Drosophila melanogaster: one gene and its partners. The protein of the gene in region 3 interacts with the protein of the main gene of each other region in a pairwise test. Each region holds a gene or a part of one and is shown on either strand. Other genes may lie near its edges.

Region 1 (7,208 bases), on a different chromosome or scaffold from region 3:
TCTCACTCTATATCGCCCTCTCTCTCACAGCTCCATGCAAATAATATATATAGAGTGGATCTATATACATATGTAGCTGTAGACGCGATATCCTGCCCGTTGGGTGGGCATATGTCGCGGGCTATTTGCTATATAGCGACAAATTGATATCGTTTTGTGCGATTCGCTCAAGTTGATTTTCAAGCATGACTCACAGCTCACCGATTTGCAGATACGCAGATGGGCGAGCGGCATTTAACCGATACGTTGCATTCGATTCCTTTGTGAATTATTAAATATTAAATTGCAGCCAACACAGCACATGTATAAAAGACTTTTGGTAAAATTGAACAATCGGTAACGATCGATTTTAGTGATCGATCATTATCGTTTCTCAAATTTATCGGAAGTTGAACGTTTGATTTGTTATTCGCAAATGGAGCTTAATTCTGTAACAAAACCAGTAAAGTAAATAAGACCTATTATTTATACTAGTTAGCTTTGATTAAGTTTTTTTATAATTAATTTCAATTAGATCACCTCCCAAGTGAAAACGCTTAAAGACTTGCAATTGAATGTTTATTCTGGCCAAAAAAAAATTCCATAGAGTGCGATGTGAAAAAAAAAATTTTTTAGTTTTATAATACAATTAATTAATTCGACTACGCTTATTTTTATGATTATATTGTTAAGTACGTATTATAATAATAATATCGGGTATGCTTGGTAAATATCAGCACATCGCTTGACTTTCATTAATTTGTCCCGATCGGTTATTGCACAAAAACGGTTTTCTTCATACGCATTATATACACAGGCAGCTGGGGAAAATGGTATTATGGGAGAGTTTGGGGCGTGGCTCCTACATGGGACATCCGTGGACATAGCCGACATTACGGAAAATGGCCGCCGCTGCGGCGGAAGTGAGAAAATTGCAAGGATTGCTGGCAGCCGCTGCAGCAGCGGCGGCGGCACTAAAAGAACTGCTCAGTCCGCTGGGACAGCAGCCGAGTCCGCCCGCACCGCCGCCATCCTGGACCACAAAATCCTTCTCCATGGTCGCCTGATGACGCAGCTGCTCCAGACGCAGTTGATTCTGTCGCTTCCATTTGGTCCTGCAATGGAAAAGGCAAATGAAGCGCTTACAATCGTTGCCACACGGTTAGAATTGAATATGGGATCACTTTAGCGTGATTGTACCAATAAATTCTATATTTTTTTAGTAATCTTACTCAACATAAAATTGGCTTTGGTAAACTATAATAACAAGCCATTATTAATATTAATATGTATATACTTAAAAATACAATTTGTACTGCGCAAAATACAAGGTTTTGCGTTGCCAGACGTTTGCGATCGGTTGAAGCACTATGAGCGCAACTGTACTTACTGCAATTTAAAATAGTGAAACAAAATCAAATAGTTCATTATTCTATCCGCGAATGGAAGATATTTGATTCTTTTCTAATCAAAACTTATTGTTTCATTATCCATTATCGTTTTAATTTAAAAAGCAATTAATAAAGTGGCTCCTTTCCAACTTGGGGATTTGCTCTCGATCAACACTCACCGGCGATTCTGGTACCAGGTTTTCACCTGCGTCTCGGACAGATTGAGCGTTTCGGCCACATCGCTGCGATCGGCCACGCTCAGGTACTTCTGGCACCGGAACTTCCGCTCCAAGTAGGCGAGCTGGGCGTGGGTGAAGGCGGTTCGGCGGCGTCGCGGCTTCCGGCCACTTTTGCTCAGCTGCAGCTTGTGCTCCGCATAGCCGCCACTTGTACCGCCACCGGATCCCGGGCCACTGCCACCGTTGGCATCCCGATCCCCATTGGCACCACTGGCCGCCGCTGCCAGGAGTCCAGCAGCCACGCCCGCCGCCGCTGCAGCGGCGCTCAGTCCGCTGGCTACTCCTCCTCCACCACCACCACCTCCGCCACCACCCGATCCTGTGCCAGAGCCGGGGCCCCTTGTGGCCGATAGGCAGGACTCCACACTGGATTCGTCGTGGTGGGTGAATCTGCGGTGATGGTGCGACAGCAGTAGCTCCTGCTGGCAGCCCGCAGCCGTCGAGTCCGGCGTAGATCGATCCTCAATGTCTATATCCGAATCGTCGTTGGAGAGCTCCAGTTCTGGAAATAGGAAATCAAAGGGAGGATTATTAAAATGTAGTTGCACTTGTTAGATTATCCCAAAGACATCCTGTTTTTATATGCAAACAATAGGCTTTCTACTCATTTAAAAATTTTCAAAATTTGATTGACCACGACTCGTGGATTCAATTGGAGTGCAGAGTGCAGGCCGAGTGTCAAGTGGACGCCGGTATAAAGATACCGACTTTAAGACACTGTTGCCTGTTTTCAGGCGCAGCGTGGCACTAATGCGTTCAACCTCTTCTTTTCGCGCGTGCAACCACTTCCGGTCGAGAAGCGACCTGGGAAACCCATTGCTACACCACACCACACCACACAATGCAATAGACAATCGCATTGGATGAAGTGCTATCAAATCGGATGGGAGAATCAAGTGGGCGTTGGTCCGTTTGGATGATGGGGCGGCGAATCGGATGAGTTGCAATTTGCAGCAATCAACATGTTATTTATATCCGTCGCACATACATACATCGCATCCTGAACACAATCCCAAATCGGACTCGAATCCGGACTCGAAAATCGCACGCTGCGGGCTGCCTGATTAAATTCACGTGTCGACGAGCTCTCAATTGTTTTTCCTATTGGAATTTACATGGTCTGCTCCACGCTGCACTGAGAGAAATATTTCGCTTACAAGTACTTACTTACTTTCTTAAACAAAATCAAAAGAAAACTTTTTCGTACTATTTATATCGGAATAAAATACGTTTTCAATGCCATTTATATATTTATTTTCTATTTATAAAAACCAGAGTTATATTGGAAAAAAATAGAAACCTTTTAACACTCGACCAACTTTTGCACATTATGAATACAATTTCTCAATTTTTTTGCCCAGTGGCGCTTACTTAACACTCAACTTTTTAGAAGAACATAATTTTCGATTCGCCACAGGCGCTCACGTGTGTTCGCCCAGCAAGGATTCTTCTATGTTTTCTGCCCACTTTCTGGAGTGCCAACTGAACGGGCGGAAATTATTTTTATATTTGTGTATTTTAACCCCAAATGGGTTTCGACATCTGATTCCATTTATAACGATTTGCGCAGACAGGACGGAAGGGTAGATGGTGGATATACATATGTATTGTACATATGTCTATGCATGTGAGGGGATATTCAATTATGTGTGGATATCCTGGGGAGCGTCTCGAGTGAGTTCTTTCATTTTTCTCGAAAAGTCACGTCGTATCAATTTGCGGCACAATTGCCATTTAATAGGCACTTGAACTGTGAGACACACATCTGAAGATTGAAGACAGGCGAAAGCCGGTGACTTGTCGTATTGGATGGAGAAAGTGGGTGAAATGGGCTCGCATGTGCCGGCAATTTGGACATTGGAATAACGTATGTGTGTCCTAATAATATACAAATTTCTTTTTTTTTTTATTTATCCATGCCGTTACTAGCATTGATTTTAGGCAAAATCGAAACGTAAGGTATACTTGCAGTGAAAGTTTCATTTTCATCCTCTCTAACTGACAGCAATTAGCCTCTAAATAGTTGTAATTGTTGAGCTAAACTTTATTTAATGTCATGCCTAATTAGAGGATAACACATGCAGTTGGCACAAACCAACCAAAAAACAAAGCATACGTAAGCGGGCACCGCAGGCGGTACACTGCGAAAAAATGTAAAGAGCCATTTAAATCGAATGTGGAATGAGTATATTAATCTATGCATATTTTTTATATATATATCCTTAATAATTTATTTTTTCTTTAGTACTTGAAGATGACTTTTGTGTTATTATATTTTCTTGACTCAAAGTTAACACTAGTAAAGATCACGATTCGATTTGTTCTGTGTACTTGTGCGAGGATGCAAAAGCATTTGTCATGACTGAGTTTTCAGTCCCATTTGCATTCGCATCCACCACGACATTTTCCCTTTCGGTTTCCGATCCCCTGGCTAAAAACAATTAAAGTGCTCGTACGTGACAAATTGCTTGAGCGCAGGTTACGAATAAAGCAGTGTCAACAGCAACAAAAATACTATTAACTGCCAAACTCACACAGTCAGAAAATATGGCTATAAAGTATATCAAAAAATATATGGAAAATGACAATAATTAGCAAATCTATTGAAATCTTAAATTTTCCAGAAGCTAACATATTTTTTGATATATATAAATATAAAACAAAATCAAGATATCGTATTGAAAAATAATATTTTTCGGTGCAAGCAAGCAGTGCACAAATAAATTACTGCCTGAAGCTGTGGTTTTTGTTGTTTCCACTCAACCCCTCTCGCTCACCCGCTGTCTAGCCATCCCACTCGCTCTCATCGCCATCTCACTCACACCGCTAAAAGTTTTTGTTTTTGCGATAATTGAGCAAAGTGTGAGATTTAAATGCCACAGGCGGGTGAAAAAAAAAAAACAGATGACAGAATTGGGGGCGTCAAAAGAGAGTGAGCAAGGCAATTTGTCAGTGGTTTTAGCCAAAAACTCCCCTTATTTACCCCTCAGCCAACAGCAAAACATCAAAGAACGGGAGATTGGAACAATGAGCAGGCTAATTGGCCAAAAAAGGCGTTTATATTATGTATGTTTATTTCACATGTGTGGGTGTATGCAAAATGATAGGTTATATTTAATTACATGGAAGTCTTGTTATTTACAATTAGTATGGAGCTACGAAATTGTTTGTTTTGAAAAATATATCTATTATTAGCAGAGAACTGATATAAACTAGATATTCCTTTTTACAAATAATATCTAGTTAAGGAAACAAATTATTATCAATAAAGGAATATATTTATTTTGATACTTGTTATAGTAGCAGAATTGTTATGGTTTCATAGATATATCATATAGTCGATAAATATGGTAAATGATATACCTCAAAGGACTTAAATGGTACAAAATATTTTCAAAACTTACCCGAATCTGTTTGTCGTCGATTAATCAAATCGCCCAGAAGATCGCGTATTAAAAAAGATTTTGAGCTCTGCATTTTGATGGATCTGCAGTCCTTATGGCAAAAGCGGTGCTTAAGTGTGTTTGTTTTAGATCAGATTTTCAAAGTAACTGGCACATTTGAAACATTTTGCACTAGAAATCCCGTTGCAACAATAACAAAAATTAATCCGTTGTCCTTGTTTATTTGTTAAGTGGCTTTGAAGGCTTTTATTTGATGATCCCTTTTTATTTTATCCTTTGGCGTTTGGCCGACGGCAGTGCTGTGCAAATTTAGCGATTATAATTGCGCCTTCGATCTGTTCTACGCGTAATCGAATTTTCCAGTACGAAACACGCACACACACATTCACACAGACAGACGGACAGAAAGTAACTGTAACTGAACCGCTAAGCGCCGAGTCAAATGAACAACTGAAATGCGAAACGTCGAACGTTTATTAATCCTTTTAGCGAACATCGCCAGGATTCACCCCTCACACACACACACACACAAGTGAATTACGCGGATTTGTTGCTGTAAACGGGACAGTTTAGCGCCCACGTCGACGTCGACGTTTGCAGAGGAAAAGTCCAGCAACAACAACAGCAAAATGAGTGAAAAAAAATGTAGCTACAAAAAGGAAACTTTCGCAATGGCCGCTGCCATTTAACCGTTATTTAATCAGTTGCCTTAGACACACAGCATCAACAAAACAGCAGCATGCCATCCCGCTCGCTCACCGACTTCCGCTGTCCCGTTAGCCATTTTGTTTGCCGTTAGCCCGGTGGGAGAGCAGGTGGACAACAGCTTGCTGTCTCTCTCTTCGCCCAGGGTTGCCGCCGCGCCATTGGCTGTCATTCTGGGCCACCCCTAAATGGCCCGGGGAAAAAAGCAACCCTTAAAGCTCTCGCATTTCCTTGGCCCAGTCTAATGTCGCCTTTGAAATCTGCGTCAGTCGCACGAGTTACGAGCTCTAAAACGCACCAAAGTGGTATGTAAAAAGGTAAAAGGACCAGAAATCAACGAAACACCGTCGGCGAGTTGGCAACTCTGTTCGATGTCCGTAAGGATTTAAAATCACCCATTTTGAATATTTAGTGAGTAAGTATTGTGGCATACACACTATATATGCAAACTTTTATTCCATTAATCATAAGTTTGCTGCTAACTAAAAATGGGCATAAAACACTTCATAGGGTTATTATTTCTACACAATATTTCAAATATTGTTTTATTATTAACTACAACTACATTTATTAGCTGATGCTTTCAGCGATTCATGTTAAAGTTCCACTAAGTGATATGCAAGTGGCTTGCTTCGACTTCTAAATCTAATAGCTAATCTAATAGCAATCCCAGTGTTTCAGCCGGTTCTCCTGGTTAGGAATGTGTCTTATTTATCAGTTCTAGATTTGGGATCATCGATAAGATCTAGGGCACTTATAGCTGCTCCCAGCAGATGAATGGAACCGGTGACGAGGACCTCTAGTTGTCCCTCATTGTCTGTGGCTTGTGGAAATCTTTGCCTGATGGCAGTAAAAGCGTCGGTTAGCGTATTATACACCTGACCCACATCTTTTTTTTGCTCCGTTGCGCAGAGGTCACTCCAAGCTGAGGCAATGATCCTCGCCCGATTCAATTGCATTTCGGGACTAAAACGAACCATCACCTGGCTGGGAGCATTTGGCGTTGAGGTGGCCAAATTGGGCACAAAGCAGACCATGTCAAAGTCACAGGTGCGGTTGAGTAGCTTTAGCAGAGGTGCGAAACCGGATTCTCCGGTGCGATTAAAGATCAGAATCTTTGGATTGACACTGCAAATGAGGAAGTCAATCGAATCAGTTATGTATTATAGGACCATCTCCTCCTACTCCGCTCACCTGTCTCGCACGTTTTTTTCAAACCAGTCCGTGCACACTTCCATGCTTTCCAGAGTGTGAGCTCCGTCCAGATGTAATCGCATCCCGTGCCATTCGATTAGCTGGCACCGACCGGGCCAGTGGGTGCTAATCAGTCCGTCCAGCAGCTGTGGATCCATTTTCACCTCGTTGGGAGTGTGCTGCTGTTTTCCCGACTGCGACAACCAATCTTGGGCCAATTGAATGGCCAATGAGCCATTTAGGCGAATTAAGTTACTGAAGGTCTGCCAAATCGGAGCATATGCCTTCGATCGAAA
Region 2 (4,861 bases), on a different chromosome or scaffold from region 3:
CCCATTCGAACTGAGCCGAAACTTCTTGGACTGTCGATTCATTACATTAAATGCGGGGGGGTGGTGAGGAGTGCAGGTGCGCAGGTGATGGGCAAATGTCATAAATTATTTGCCTCCCCCTCCCGAGCGGGGTGGTTTTATATGTAAATTTATATAGGATATTTACACGCAACATTCGCGGCTGCGGCATCAAATATTTACACTGATTCCGGGTATTCGAAGACAACAAAAGAAATGAATAACAAAAAACAGGTGGGGAGCAGTGGGGGCGAAAGGCCAAATTGATGAACCTTGAAAAATGTGTTAAAACTTATTGTTTTCTTCGTCAGCGATTCTTGACGAATTGATATTTTCGAACTCAGCGTGGTAAAAATGGAATTTTGAAAATTTTAACGTTTTGCGAAAAGTAGGTAATGATTAACTAGTTTTGAATACTATTGAATGATTAACTAATACGGAATGAGCCGTATTAAGCACTTATCACCATAAAACTAAGAATTTGGTATACTCAACAATTGCCACTAAACAATCCAAAAGCCAAAATTAATGGGTCGCTATCCGTATAAGCTGATAATACCAGGGAATACCAGTTTGGCATAAACAACTTGTTGAACAACCCGCAAATAGTTTGGTTAACAACATTTTTGTTTTTCACCTTATGCGAGCGAAGGCAAGGTAAATGCAATTTTCTAGCCCATAAATCTGTTTGAGCTGCTAACTTTTGGCACTTTCATTGTGGCCGCTATCGTTTGTTTGCCGGTGTGTGGCACTTTGTTTAAGTTTGGTTACCAACCAAGGAACGAAAACATGGTAAGAAGAAATACCCAGCGAACGAGGAAATCAAATGGCCAACGGGAATGGCCAAAACGAAATGCTTGAGATTTGTTTAATTGCATCCTGGCTGGCGTTTTTTGCCATCAAAAAAAATAACAGGATGGCTAGCACTCCACAAAATGGCGTCCATCCGAATGGGCGGTGGGCGGTGGGCGGTGGTGGTTGATTCAGTGGGTGGTTCGATGGGGGACAGTACTTACGATATCCATTGGTATATGCCCGACACAGTCAGCTCACCCTTATCCTCGAGGGCGTATTCGATGAGCTCCGTGTAGGTGAACGGTGGTTTCTTTGGCCTGCTTGTTTTGCGGTGGTTGGTTTTGGATTTCAGCCACATTGGTGGGTGGTTCGGTGGTTTAGTGGATCGGCGATTGCGTGGTTGGGGAAATTCGTTGGCGGCATCGATTGGAGGACGGCATTGAAAGCAAATGGAGAACGCACAAATCAGAGAAAAAGATTGTTAAATATATTAAAACAAAAGAGAGAATGCTATAGTCGAGTTACCCGACTATCAGATACCCGTTACTCAGCTAGTGTGAATGCGAACGCGAAATTTAATCATCTTTCTGGGATGTCGATAGATATTGGGGAATAAAATGAGAAAAAAATTTAAAAATTGATCCTGATCAACAAATTTTATATATACTTCAACGAATCTAGTATACCCTTTTCCTCTATGAGTAACGGGAATAAATAGATGTTTCAAATAAATTAGGAAATATAGAATTTAACCGTTGACACTGTCATATTGTTTTATTTCTGCAACACTTACGCCTTGGACGAAGTATCCTCGACGACAACGTGCTCGGCAACTATCATGTCGTTACCGTCCAACTCCGAGGTGACCTCCATCACCAGCTCCTCGAACTTGCGCCCAGTCTTGGTGGAGCCCACGCCGGCCACGCCCCCCGCTGCTGAAGCGCCAGCGGAGCCGTTGCCTCCTCCTCCTAATGCCGCTGGCATCGCTGCACTGGAGCAACTCTTGGGCGATCTGGCCCGTTGATCCACCAAACCCGATCCGAGAGATTGATTTGTGCTTATGGCGGATGCGGATGCCGATGCGGCGGAGGCGGATGATGGCGAGGAGGAACTGCAGGGCGACGTGGCGATCGGCACTGCCGTCGATGGTGGATGAGGTGGAGCACTGCCCTCCGGCAGATTGACCGCCTGTCCGTGAATCTGATTGTGCGGCGATAGGTGCGGGAACTCGTCGAACTTAAAGTTGAGCAGCCACGAGAGGTTCTTATCCTCGAAGTCCGCCTCGGTGGCTTCATTGGCCCCACTAACCGAACCGGATGAGGTGCGTCGGCCCGCCGACTGTATCCGCTGCTTCTGCGGCACCAGAAAATGTTGATTCTGATGTGGGTTCTGACCAGGACTGACATTCTGTTGTGTTGACTGCTGCGTATGATTGGATGCATTTTGAGCTGATGATGATGTTGGTGGTGGCGGCGGCAAAGTGGCATTCAATTGCCCCAGTTCCGCCTGCAGGCCGGAGTTATAACGATGATCCAGCTCCAGCAGCTCGCCACCGGTCCAACCACCATTGTCATCCAATGGAGCACTCGATGGTGGACAGTGCGAATAGGCGACGGCGGGCACCAGAAGACTGCTCTCATAGGAAAAGAGATCGTTGATGAAGGACGTCGAGGATTGGGCGGGTGCAGCGTTGGTTGGCGGATTACTAGGTGGCTGTTCCAGCTGCAGGTGGAAGTGCAGGTCCCCGGCATCGTAGTCCAAGTGTCGCTTCTTCCAGGGATTTGCCCCGATGGGCTCGTAGTCGTGGCCCAAAGCCAAATCCTCCTGATCGTCGAACTTGCGCTTAAGAAAGTTGTAATCACCGGGAAGATTAGTGTTCGTATCATTTTGATTGGTGGTACTGCTATTGTTGTTGTTGTTGCTGCTGGGATTCGATGTTGGGCTGGATGCACTGCCCGTTCCATTGACGGGCATGTTGACAATCATGATGTCCCGGCTGTCTCGATTTCAATCACGTTAGCCAAGCCAAAACACACAACTCACACTTGGCGAAAAAGAGCAAGTAACACGAAAAAAAAATTGACCTGCTTCGTCTGGGGGACGGACGAAGGATATTTCTTTCTTTATTTCTCAATCTTTAGTTTAGTCAAGAGCGGAAATTGGGAATTAGTCGGTCCGCACTGGCTAACTGGCTAACCGTCTCGCGCTGCGACTGGCCACGGAATGCGATGGGCCGCCAGGAGTCCAGACCAACTTGGCTGTTGGGCTGAGCTGCGCCTGCGCCCTCCTGCCACTCATCCACATTCACATCCACCACCCCGGACACCCAGTCATGCACATAAGCGGTACGTCTGCAGTCGATGGAAAGAGGAGCCGTACCTGTGATGGCGCAGGTACAATAAAATAATGCAGACACTTCACTGTATTATATTTGACATATTCGTTGATATATGTTTCAACCATATCACCTGCTTATAAATATATATTTATAATTTATATATAAATATGAAAAATATCAAAGCAAAGAAAGCTGTCATAGCTTCTAAATAATCAGTCGTGTACGCTGTACCAAGCTGAGTTTAAAAAGCAATCAAGTACCTCTAGGTACAACCACCCAGGTCTTGGCATCGCTGAGCCCAGGTCATGTGCCGCTGGTTCTGCTTGGTCGCTCGATTTGGCCATAATCGAACATGTGCGCCAAGCTGTCCGTTAGCCAATTTCGCGCTGACATGGGGCGGGGTGCGGTAGATAGGTTCTGGATCCAGGGTGCAGGGTGCAGCCATTGAAGCGTCTAATCGACGCTTTCATACACCATGCGTACCCAATGTACTTCATACAAAGTGAGCAACCCACACAGGTGATGCGCCGGATAGTTTAAGGGACTACGGCTCCATCTGTTCAACCCGCTCGAAAAAAAAGCAAAAGTATCTCCCCTTTTACCCGTTTACCAAAAAATATGGACATTAGCAATTCGGGTTCTTGTTGATTCGTTTATTTATTTCCATTGATCACTGGTTGAATGAGTGTGTGAATGAGTGTGTGAATGAGTGTGTGAATGAATGGGCGATTGCTTTCATGTTGGGGGGCTAAATGCATTTGCATACAATATGATTTAAATCCTACTCAGTACAATTTTGTTTGACCAAATGATGCGATTAGTTTTATCCGTTTCTTCGTTCTCGGTAATTTAGGCTAATATTATTGAACATATATATATTTTTTATTTTCTTTTGGTTGTTTCTCGAGCTTTAGTTCAACTAGATCGATCGGCACCCTTGAATCTGACTTGACGTCTAAACATTCATGTTTTGTTCGTTACAGGACAATCTTTTGATTTACCTGTGAACTGCAAATGTGAAGTTTTTAAGCATATTCTAGCTCCTTTGTATAGTTTCATTTGCCACTTTAATGGCCGCAAGTATGCTTTTCAATAATATGTGAAGAAGCGTCTCCAGCATCTCCAACATCTCTTTCTTCTCGATTTAAATAAATGTTGCTTATTCTTCTGACTGCTTGTAGTATTTTGAATATTTGAATTTTCTCCATTGTCGCCCGTTCTTTTACGTGTTGGTTAAGTTAAAGCTTAGGAAATGTTTGTTTTTTCCCAGCTGCAAAAATGTGTAAGGCAGTTGCTTTCCCTTTTGTTTTTCGTGTAGTCCATCTTCTTCCCCGCACTCTGTTGCTTTCTCTTTCTTTGTTGTTTTGTAATCTCGCTCGATTTCGTGTAATTGTTTGTTAACTTCTTTTTATCGACGCATGTTTCAGTCTTACTACTGCCCCATTTCTAAACCTTAGTCCAAACCGTCATCGACGAAGTCGGCGGAATCCTTTTTAGGCTTAGGCTCGCTCGGCTTTCCAGCCTTTTCACCCGCTTGGCCAAAGGCAGCACCCACATCTCCACCGGGCACAATCTTCTTGATAAGGTTGTATATCTTCGGGTTCGACGCGTACTTTGTGATGTTACCCGGATTTGACAAAATGTCCTACGAAAGTTAATAAATAACAACGATATGATTACTGCATTTGTATTAGAAATAGAAAAGTAGTA
Region 3 (5,585 bases):
ACTTTCCGGCAGGATTTTCCCGATCTTCACGTTGGCCGGCTTACCGATGATATTCTCAAATCCGCCACGGCGAAGCTCAAGTGGCGCCAGTTCGCCGAGAAGTTTAACAAGTTGGACGATTACTCGTATGGCACCCTGATGCGCGCCGATGCCAGCAGGGAATTCTCCCCGGACAACTCTATCTTCGTGTTTCGCGTCCAGTTTCTGGCCATCGAGATTGCCCGGAATCGGGAGGGACTCAACGATGAGGCTTACGAGAAGCACAAGCCCGCCAGAAAGGTACCCGAAGAGGAACAGTAATCCCTCGCTCTAGCTTAGATTAAGTTGTAAAGACTGGATGCATATTTAGCTGCAGTTCGTCTATCTACTTTAGTAAACAATCAAATTATTTTTATACAAAAAATAAAAATATAACGACCGCCTTTAAATTGTTCCCTACACGTTGCCATTTCTTGACTTTGTATTCTGCTTTCTGCCAATCTGTGGGATGAGATCCACATCTTTAATAAAAATTAGATTAACATTTGATCAAAGTTGTGTTGTAATAATCTAATGTATACATCTCAAAGTTCTGATGCAAACATTCTGTTTAAAAACATATTCGCTTTTATTGGGAAATCGATTCCATTTTATCTGTGAACAACAATAAACCCATGGTTTTATGTTAGAATATTGTATCCTAAACTATATATTGTATATATTAAATATATAATTAATGGGATTTGCCTAGTTGCTACATGTATTGCCCGCACTTGGTCCATCTTCAGTCTTGCTTTTGGGCAGTCTAGCGAATCTGCTTGCGCCCTGTTCTTCTCAATTCCGCCTACAGTCCACTGGTGTTGCTGGTCATCAGTATGAACGGAATAAGAGCATCCATCTGCATCTGCCCCACCAAGTTGGCGAAGAACAGCTCCTCCATGGCCTCTGCGTCCAGGCTGCTGAGCGGAAGAAGGCGAGCCACCAGAACATTAAAGCGCTCCTCGCCGCCGCCGATGCCACCCTGCCTTCTCAAACTTGACAGAGCGTAGAGTTGGACTCTGCGGACGTAGCCTCGCAACGACCGCTCCTTGCGCTGCTGCAAGAGCGTTGGATTGAAGAGCAAGATCAGACGCAGCAAGCCAAACTCCATATCAGTAACATCCAGTGACTGGAGCTCCTGGACAAAGTCGTGCAGGGTCCTGGTGAGATTTGCCATCTTCGAGATCTTCAACGGTTCGATCTTATCGATATCCGCTAGCTGGCGAGTGCTTTGAATAAACTGCCCGATAATGGTGGGCACCGAAAGCTGACCCTGACACTGCGCCAAAGCTATAGCCATTAATGCTGGCCACACTCCTCTCAGGAGTTTCACCTGTGTATGGGCTTCCAATTGTTCGAAAACTGGAACCTTTCGAAGGGTATGGATGGTGAGAAAAATGATTCGCGAGCCCGTCTCACACACATAATGAATATTTAAATACGAGTGGACCAAAGTCGGCGGTTGCACATGAAAGGCACACTGCACATCGGTGAGAAGATCCTGTTCAAAGACCGCCTCATTGATAGCAAAATCGCTTCCACCGCTTCGGTTCCCACCGCACTCAAAGTCTAGTTCCATGTGCTCCAGCTCCGCGTCTACGGCATCCTCGGTGCCACTGTCCTCCGCCTCTGAATCGCACTCGGGCTTCACACTCAGATTACCATTTCGCTCCAGTTGGTTTTGGATGGGCTGCAGGATCTGCAGTCCCTTGTGGATGACCCGCATGTCCAGCGAACTCTGAATAAGCCCCATTGTCGAGGTGGTAGGCAGAGCGGTGGGTACTTCCCCAGCATTAAAGTTCAGGTGCTGCGAGTTGTTGTTGCTGGCGCTGTTGGCGAGCAACTGCAAGCACAGCGTGCTGCTGTTGTCCATTGAGTCGTCCTCGTCATCCTCGGGATCTGCCTTCGGAATATCTGGCGAATAGCTACCACTCTGTTGATGCTGTTGCTGTTGTTGCTGCTGCTGTTGGGTAGCGAACACTGCAAAGTCAATAGGAGATTATTAATGGTGAATTCGTTTAAAAGAAGTTAAATATGGATCAATCATGGCAGTTAAGTATATATGACCAACCAGAATGTAAATCAAAGTTCAACTTACTCAATGTCTGCGTTAGTTCTGCGAAATTCAAACCCATCGGGAATATATTCTCATTCAAATTGAAGGCCGTTGCTGGCGCGCTGTGCACTGGAGGCGTGGCCGCGGATTCGGCCTTTACACTGTGCCCCTTGCCACGCCCCTGCTGATAGCCGGACTTGCCGGATAGGTAGGTGGACGAGCCATTACCGCCGCCAGAAGTGGATGAGCTACCGGCAGCAGCGATGATCCCCTCCTTCCTGTCCACAATCGGTTTCCTCTCGTGCTGCACAGCTGTGAACAAAAGTTGATGAGAACGGAAGGCAATTAATTAGAGCGAGAAGTGAGGTGAGGATGCGGTTTGATGATTTTCAAAGCGAGGTGATGGTGAGTAAGTGGGTGAATTGGTTAATGTTCGTGCAGGCTGGGAATCTTTTGTGCCTCCGCCGCTGCAGTTTTAAGATGTGCAAGTTACTGAAGTGGATATTCACGTTACAGAAGCAAACACTGGGATGCAATTAGATTCACGTGATTACTTGGTGTAAAATGCACTTCACAGACGAAAATTGAATTGAATTCAATTGAAATTGAACTTTCTCTAGATTAGACTATTTATCTTTGAGTCCAATTCGAATTGGAGATCATCCAACCAGTTCTTGATTAAGCTCTGGGAAACTGAGTTCCTGTGAATCGATAACGTTTCATTACTTGTCAGAGTTAAATGCTACATATATGATATCTCCTAATTTCTACAATGCAATTCTGCTAAAGCCTGCTGGAGCACGTAGACTCTGGCCAGGCCAGAGATTGGTTATAGCTTGAGACGACGACTTAAACGAAAATTACAATCACTTCGCATGCCGCTGGCCAGGCACTTCTGTAGTCGACAGAACTGGCACCGATTCCTGTGGTGCTTGGTGACCTCGCAGTTCATAGCCCCGCGACACTGGTAGCCCAGCTGCTTCCGGATCGAGCGCTTGAAGAATCCCTTGCAGCCTTCGCAGCTTATGGCTCCGTAGTGCCGCCCGGAGGCGCGGTCCCCGCACACCAAACACAGCTCCACGCTCAACGTTGCGGATGCTCCGGCTCCCATTCCCACGCCGCCTCCTGGCAGAGGAGTGCCGCCTGAGGCACTGCCTCCTCCGATCAAGGGCATCGCTCGGTTTTCTGCAAGGTCAGAGGGCAATGGCAACAGTCGCGTTAGAATGGGCTCCAAGGTGGCATGGCTCGGGTGATTGGACTCACCTTCGCTTTTGATGAACGTCTCAACCTTAACGCCGTCCATTGTCGCCACAGCAGGCGGCTAAAAAATAGTCGTCGGCTGTATAAATAACTGAAACCCAAACATCTTCACATATGTAATTTAAATTTTACTTGCAATATAAAGTAGAGAAGAGATAAATATGGAGTGTGTCTAGAATAAAGGAATTACGAGCCGAAAAGAGAGGTATGAGGTGGTTAATTCTATCACAAAATATATTTATATAGTAGATAATAATAATAATAATAATAAATGTATTATAATATATTATATTGATGTTTTCAAAAAATAAATCATTGAATTTTACGCAATATAAAACACCGTTGCTGCTGCCAACAAAAGTGCTACTATTTTGGACGCAGCTGTAGCTAACGTAGCCAGAGCTATTTTAATAGAACCTGTTTTGGCTGCATCTGTGTGGGTGCCTGTGATGTGAATGAATTGGTCTTGCTTACTTGGCTCTTTGAAAATTCTTATTGGACGTCTGTTATCACCATTCTTGAGCTTTTAAAAACATCTATTTTTCGAGGCACTTGGTTAAAGTTATGTTACTTCCGGTCAGTTACGATATTTTCAGGCACTTTGTGCCTATTTTGAACCTTTTCTAACGCAATAAAATCTCCTTGTTCCAATTCACTTGCGAGCAGTGTGACCGCAGTTGGGCTCTTTCAACATACCATCCGGTCCCATATACTAAAAAAAGGCAGCTCATTGTGCAAATATACCAAAACACCTGTAGAGCTACAGTTCGTTGAAATTGTAATTTTTAACGTAAAACAAAGGATAATAATAGAATTACTAATATCAATAATAACAAAGGCGTGTCTAGGGTACAAATTAGAGTCAAGCTTAATCAATTAACACAAATTTTAATTCTCATAAGCCCACAAGGACATAATATTAAATTTTATACTTTGAGTTACCTTGGCTATTTGATTAAATTGATAAGCCTATCCCAAGTTTTTACTTAACTTTTGTACTCAAAACTAGGCGCTCTGCCGTATTAGCGCTCTGGTATTGATCCAAAGAGAAACATCTGTTGATGCCTTCCATGTGGATATAGTTAAAAAGAAGGGGCTTTTGTTTACAAAAATACAATTTAATATACAAGTGAAATTGTTACAAAAAAGCTATAACGAAAAGAGCCCTAAGAATGGAACTAGTATATTTGATTGTGTTCTCCTTTCTCGCGTATTTTTTGGTCTTACAAACGACTAAGCCACAAATTGCTCACACAAATATCGAAAGGCAGACAGGGTTGAGTGAAAGTATACTTCTGGGTTTCGGAATGGGGTCATGGATGGGCCGAAATGGAAATCAGCAAGCTCACAAACATGCACACTCCGCCTACACAGTGCCACTACAGTCTAATATTTCAATTATTTATTCTTTAAGCCCATTGCCCGTTTGGTGGCCCGTCCCAGGAAGATGCCGGTGAGGAAGACCAGGCCCGTGGCGCTCATTAGTATCACAAGGAAGAATTTCCGCGCCGGAGAGGCGACGACTTGTTGCACTAGCTGCTGCACATCCTCGGGCGGAAGCGCCAACGTGTCGTCTGCGTTCCTGAACATCTCTATGCGTCGCTGCAGCTTTTCTCGGCAGTCCGCCTCTAACGAGTTCGGCGTATCCTTCAGCAGCGTCCTTAAGCAATTAAGTTCTAGAACATAGAGAGAAAAACATTAATTATTATATTTATAACCACACCAACCACACACACACACACACACACACACACACACACACACACACACACACACACACACACACACACACACACACACACACACACACACACACACACACACACACACACACACACACACACACCCCCCTGCACCAAAAAGGAATGTTCAAGAAATTTCATAATTTGCTGCCTATCACGTAACTTCCCGTTGTTTATTTACACTATGTACTGTTCTTATTCTCTTAGTCAATCTGCCTCCAATTATATCGATCTGCTTCAAATACATAAGCTGTTTGATAGGTGCTTTCACTAAGAGTTTCCAGTGTAGGAAGAGGAATTCTACTATCTGCCCCCCCTGGCTGATGGCCTGGCCAAAGACCCTAGAATAACAAGATGCGTAACGCCATACGATTTTTTGGCACACGATTTTTTGGCCGTGGCTCTAGAGGTGGCTCCAGGCTCTCTCGAATTTTTGTTAGAGAGCGAGAGAGCGAAGAGCGCTACAGCGAACCGCTCTTTTCTACGCATACAGTGATAGCAGACAACTT
Region 4 (4,877 bases), on a different chromosome or scaffold from region 3:
CCGTCTAACTCCCAACTCCAATGGCTAATTGAAGCGGTCCATGGTCGATAACTTACCGATTCTTGGCCGCAGCAGCCCGATCCCGCTGGCGGCGGTTCTTGAACCAGTTGCCCACTTGCGTGGGATTCAGGCCGGTGGCCTTGGCCAGCTCCCGCTTCTTGGTGGGATTCGGGTAGGGATCCTGTAGGTACCATTCGCGCAGTAGGCTCCGCGTGCGCTCCTTGAAGCAGTGCGTCTTCTGCTCGCCATCCCAGATCGTCGGCGGCAGGGGGAACTTCTTTCGCACCCGATACTTGTCCACGGGGCCTGCAAGTTTCAATTGCAATTGGATTAATTAAAATAATTTTAATTTTTGTCTAATTTTACAGTAGTTTTGTTTGAACAAATGCTGGCAATAGCTTTCTGAAATTTTCATTAGGGAGTTTGAAACTCCTCGCTCTAAAAACAATTGTCTTGATTGCTACAATTCATTAGAGATTTTTTTACATCAACTATTTGTGTACTGATTATTCGATTTCATTCAAGTTTTTTCTAAAAGGATCGTTTTAAACAGCGAGTTTAAAGTGTGTCTATTATATATTCAAAAACAATTGTATTGCTTTATTTGTTACTTGGATTGTAAATATCATCGTAAAATATCAAAGAAATATTACAAGTAACAATTATGAAAAATATTTGTAAAACTGGTTTGAACATCTTAAAGTAAAATATACGAGCGTAAATTTCTGAATATGTTATTACATAATCATTACATAATTAAGCACTGAAAAACTGGTCTATACCCAATACATACAGTTAGAGAATTAGCTAAATATCAAAAATTGTTCAAACACTTTGAATCGATGTTCAGTGACGACTTTTTAAGTATCGAATTTAAAGTAAGCTCTGTTTTAGTCATTTAACTGAGTCAATAATACAATTAGAATTATAAATAATCTGTTAATCCTTCTTATTACTATGATCGGATTTTCTAAAACACGTTTAGTATTTATTCGACCGCTTTTCAATGCATTTGAAATAACAAATATGTGTAATCAATATGCTTAATGAAAACATTTCGTGGTGTTATAGTAAAACTTAAACTTGTATTTCTACGTTTGTGTTTGAAATTCCCTCATATTTTTTTCAGCATTTTATCACGACATCTATCTTGGAAGTGAATGCCTTACTCACCCAGTGATCGACCGCGCAGCTTCTCGGCCTCAATGTAGTGGGCCTCCAGCCACATGGCCTGCAGTTTGCCGTAGGACGCCTTAGTAAACTTATGATTCTCTATTATTGCATAAAGTTCCCTGAAAAGAGGTGGTCCAGTGTGAGTGTTAGTATCCGGAGTTGAGCTTAAAGTTAATGCGCTGAATTTGCCATCACGATTTCAACCCCATCAACCACCCCTGGGTCCTTTGGACTTTTGGGACACTTGGGACTTCCCGCTGCGAAAGCCATCCCCGCCTCCGAGTTTCTACACCCCTCGACACTCGACGCTCGACAGGCGTCCATATGTATTTTGAAACAATTTCATAAGCATTTATTGTCGTCACTGGTGCTGACAGCTCGGTTGAGTACGTCAAATGGTTTTAATTGGAAGTCGTTTATTTACCAAGTCAAAGCAATCAAATCACTTGCATAGCATCGCCAGATCCGTAAGAGTATATGCACGAACAGGCCATATATGTACTGTATCTGGACATTGATTGATTATACTCGAATTACACGGCCGTGTGCTCGAGCTGCAGTCAGATGAGATGCAAAACCTGATGCAACCGTTTATAGTTGTGATTGCCTGAGCCGATCGGATAATTGTCGATATCGATTGCCAGGGGACCTGTTTTGCCCACTTCGAGACGCGGCAAATGGCCGATTCGTCTAGGCGAAGATCACAAGGCTAAGTCTATCTCGGAGATACCATGGGTAAGCTAATCTTTCGTCATCGTTTGCGAGGGCCTATTGCAAAATTCACCATTCGAGCGAATTGTTTCCGGTTGTCTTAGAAGCCCCCGTGAAATGTGAGAACTTAGAATGTCGTGGCGACGGAAGCCGAAACCCCGATCCTGGCGTGGAACCTATTGTTCGGTCGGTGTTTTATTAATCAAGCCTGCTCCACTTGGCTTTGGGCAGCAGCGAGTTCTTTAATTAGTAAATTAATGCCATTGTTTATTAATTTAGCGGCTCATTGTGCCCTCATTAAGCTGTCGCTGTGCAAAACTATCGGATGTCGGTTGTCGGGGTTAATCAGGACAGGAGGCTGGGACTCTGGCTGACTGGTTTTCTGTTTTTTTTTTTGGTTTTTGGTTTTCTGATCTTCCCAGAGAGTGTCATTCAAGCAGGGGGCTTTTGTGTGTGGCGGATTCCTACCTGAAGTTGCCCACATGGTAGGCGACCACTGCGCGGGCACGGAGCACCGCCTCGCAGTTGAGGATCTCGTGCATGTTGGGCAGGGCCACCGGCAGGCTCCAGAGGAAGCGGGCCAACCGCTCGATGTCGCCGGAGTCCTCGAGCGTCTTGCAAACGATCTCCACCTGGGCGGCGGAGAAGGCCAGCGTTGGAACGGCCAGGATGGGGCTGGGTGCTATAATCTGGTGGTGCGTGGGCGAGAAGCTCTCTGAGGGCGGCTGTTTGCCCTCCGTCGGTCCAACGGCCATTTTATTCGTTGAATCCACTGTGAACAAATTGGCATACTATTCTCCACCGGAACGAAGCAATCTTGCTGGGCACTACACTGGTTTAGTCACTAATTCAATTCCTTGGCTGTTATTCGTTTTTTTTTTTTTTTTTTTTGATGTGTTCACTAGCACTTGGGTGGCTTGATCCGACTCGATTCAGTCCGCCTCGATAAGGTTTTACTGATTGGTTTGGGGTTAGCACTTTGCACGCGCGATCGAGGGCATCTGGCCGTCTGGATGTGTGAGGTGGCCACCGGTTCGACTGGCGTACGAATCCAAATGATTGCCAATGAGCCAGCTCATGAATGCGATACCCGTGCCCGGACCACGAACGGAGCGCAACTGCTGCTCCACATCGAGGCGATAAAGGGGGCCTTTGGCAATGGATATAACCGATGCGGTTCGGTGTGGTGCGATACGATCCAGCGAGCGAGAGAGCGACCAACCAAACGGCCAACCGAGCGCGCAAAAAATACGTCAAATAATGGTCTTGTAACTGAGCTGCCCACTAGGCGACGGGAACGGCACAGAAGCTATACACGCTATAGAGGCTATAGAAGCTATGGCAATGGAGCTCAATCGGCAGAGGCAGCAGCAGCGGCAGTAGCGGCAGTAGCAGCACAACAATGACGCGCCACAGATACAGATACTCTGGCTGGCGGCTCGGCTCAGCTCTCCGGCTGCCACTGCTACTGCTTGCCAGCTGCAGACACGGATACAGATAAAGATACAGCTACAGATACAGATACAGCTGCGGACACAGATACGGGCCGAGATATGGAAACAGAAACGAGTTGGCACCAATACCAGGCCACAACCAGTTTGCCGCACACACAGATAAAGATACGCGAACAGATGCGGATACGGATACTACGACGCACCACCATACCATAGGCACCACTACCACGGGGTGGGCGTGGTCGTCACTGCTCGTTGACGTACGTACGTCTCGCTCTGGCACACGGCCATGCAATGGCGCCACTCTCGACAGCTGTCTCCTTTTCTCCTTTATGCGGTGGTGGCATCGCCTTCATGGGTCTCGTTTAAATGAATCGTACATAAGAGTCGCACGTACACTGGTGCACAGCAACTAATACTGTTGCAGTTCCAGTTCCAGGATAACAACGGCTCGTTGAATAGGGGTTACGAACGTTGTGGCGGCAGTAGTAGGGCTGGGTAACGCCACCGAGGGGGTGAGCTGCAGGCACGGCAGCTCAGATATTGATAAAGAAATCAAATAAAACAACCCGGCAGAACGCAGCAGCCGGGCAGCCGAGCACAGCCGCACAGTGGGGCGAGATCAGCTGGATTATGTTTATATGCCGTGGAAAATTCGAGGGTCTTTATTTACTAAAGATATTCTGTCAAGTCATTGATCACAAGCACGATACAAGTTGGAAGAAAGAATTGCCAGAGTCAAGATCGCACGGTTATATGAATGTTTTTCAATATATCAAGTTGTTTATACACACGCACTTCAGTAAATGCTTATTTTGGCCTTGTAGATTTTCATAAACCGTAACATTTATAGGTCATGTTGTTAAAAACGCTTTCTTTTGTATCTGTATATTTCTTATAAACCTAATTCGCTTATTTGTTAACAACATAACTTAAGAGAGGTAGCACATACGAAAAAAAAGTTACAAATTAACTGATCTAACTTAGTCGAAACTTGGATCCGCTTTTCATTGATTTCGCATCACGGTAAGTGAAGCATATTGTATAAGTGTAGCAAAATGTTTGACACCATGTGGTCTGGCAACCTCTGCCGCCGCTCCTTCCTCTGCCCTTCTCTTCCCATGCCATTTCCCCCTTTCTGAAGCCCCTACTCTCGCTCACTGTAAGCCATATCCTTGTGCCAGGACGAACCTCCAGCCCTCTCATCCGCCATTTATATGCACATATATATGACCAAGGAGAAAATCACGTTTTCATTTTGGCAAAGGGAACTTTTGATTATGCCCGTCGAATGGGGCAAAATATTCACGAGCAAAAGTTTTTATTGTGGCGCTGTCAGTAGTGTTGGTTGTCGGGTCTTGGTGCTTCATCATGCTCCGTGTTTGACAGGATCCGGAAATAGCCAGGAGGAGGAGGGGATGGCTTGGAGGTGGGCGGTGTTCGGCGCGGACAGGGCACACGCTAATGTATCGTTCGCGCTTTTGTCCGGAGTGTTAACAGATTAGTTGTTTACATGCCACAAGTAAATGAGTTTTCCAA

Evidence for each region.
Region 1: the proteins of Hr78 (region 3) and CG11085 interact in a two-hybrid assay, tested with the Drosophila melanogaster proteins (one large-scale study listed by BioGRID).
Region 2: the proteins of Hr78 (region 3) and fd3F interact in a two-hybrid assay, tested with the Drosophila melanogaster proteins (one large-scale study listed by BioGRID).
Region 4: the proteins of Hr78 (region 3) and Optix interact in a two-hybrid assay, tested with the Drosophila melanogaster proteins (one large-scale study listed by BioGRID).

What each region holds. Positions count from the first base shown.
Region 1 is NC_004354.4:12,614,555-12,621,762, reverse strand, and holds CG11085 (uncharacterized protein), read right to left. Parts: upstream 5,448-7,208; 5' UTR 5,087-5,447; coding exon 5,014-5,086; intron 2,112-5,013; coding exon 1,550-2,111; intron 1,095-1,549; coding exon 842-1,094; 3' UTR 547-841; downstream 1-546. Other genes in the region: Fpgs1 (folylpolyglutamate synthase 1), read right to left, coding at 6,426-6,846, 6,913-7,208.
Region 2 is NC_004354.4:3,800,495-3,805,355, reverse strand, and holds the start of fd3F (forkhead domain 3F), read right to left. Parts: upstream 3,041-4,861; 5' UTR 2,800-3,040; coding exon 1,607-2,799; intron 1,131-1,606; coding exon 1,035-1,130; intron 1-1,034. Other genes in the region: HIP (Hsc/Hsp70-interacting protein), read right to left, coding at 4,605-4,796.
Region 3 is NT_037436.4:21,493,483-21,499,067, forward strand, and holds Hr78 (Hormone-receptor-like in 78), read right to left. Parts: upstream 4,013-5,585; 5' UTR 3,809-4,012; intron 3,702-3,808; exon of another isoform or gene 3,661-3,701; intron 3,540-3,660; exon of another isoform or gene 3,426-3,539; 5' UTR 3,378-3,425; coding exon 3,338-3,377; exon of another isoform or gene 3,260-3,337; coding exon 2,939-3,259; exon of another isoform or gene 2,911-2,938; intron 2,387-2,910; coding exon 2,117-2,386; intron 1,999-2,116; coding exon 824-1,998; 3' UTR 537-823; downstream 1-536. Other genes in the region: CG7519 (uncharacterized protein), read left to right, coding at 1-300; Glg1 (golgi complex-localized glycoprotein 1), read right to left, coding at 4,733-5,010.
Region 4 is NT_033778.4:8,029,720-8,034,596, reverse strand, and holds the start of Optix (optix), read right to left. Parts: upstream 3,005-4,877; 5' UTR 2,640-3,004; coding exon 2,353-2,639; intron 1,293-2,352; coding exon 1,174-1,292; intron 307-1,173; coding exon 57-306; intron 1-56. UniProt on the Drosophila melanogaster protein: May be involved in head or eye development; development of the clypeolabrum and several head sensory organs.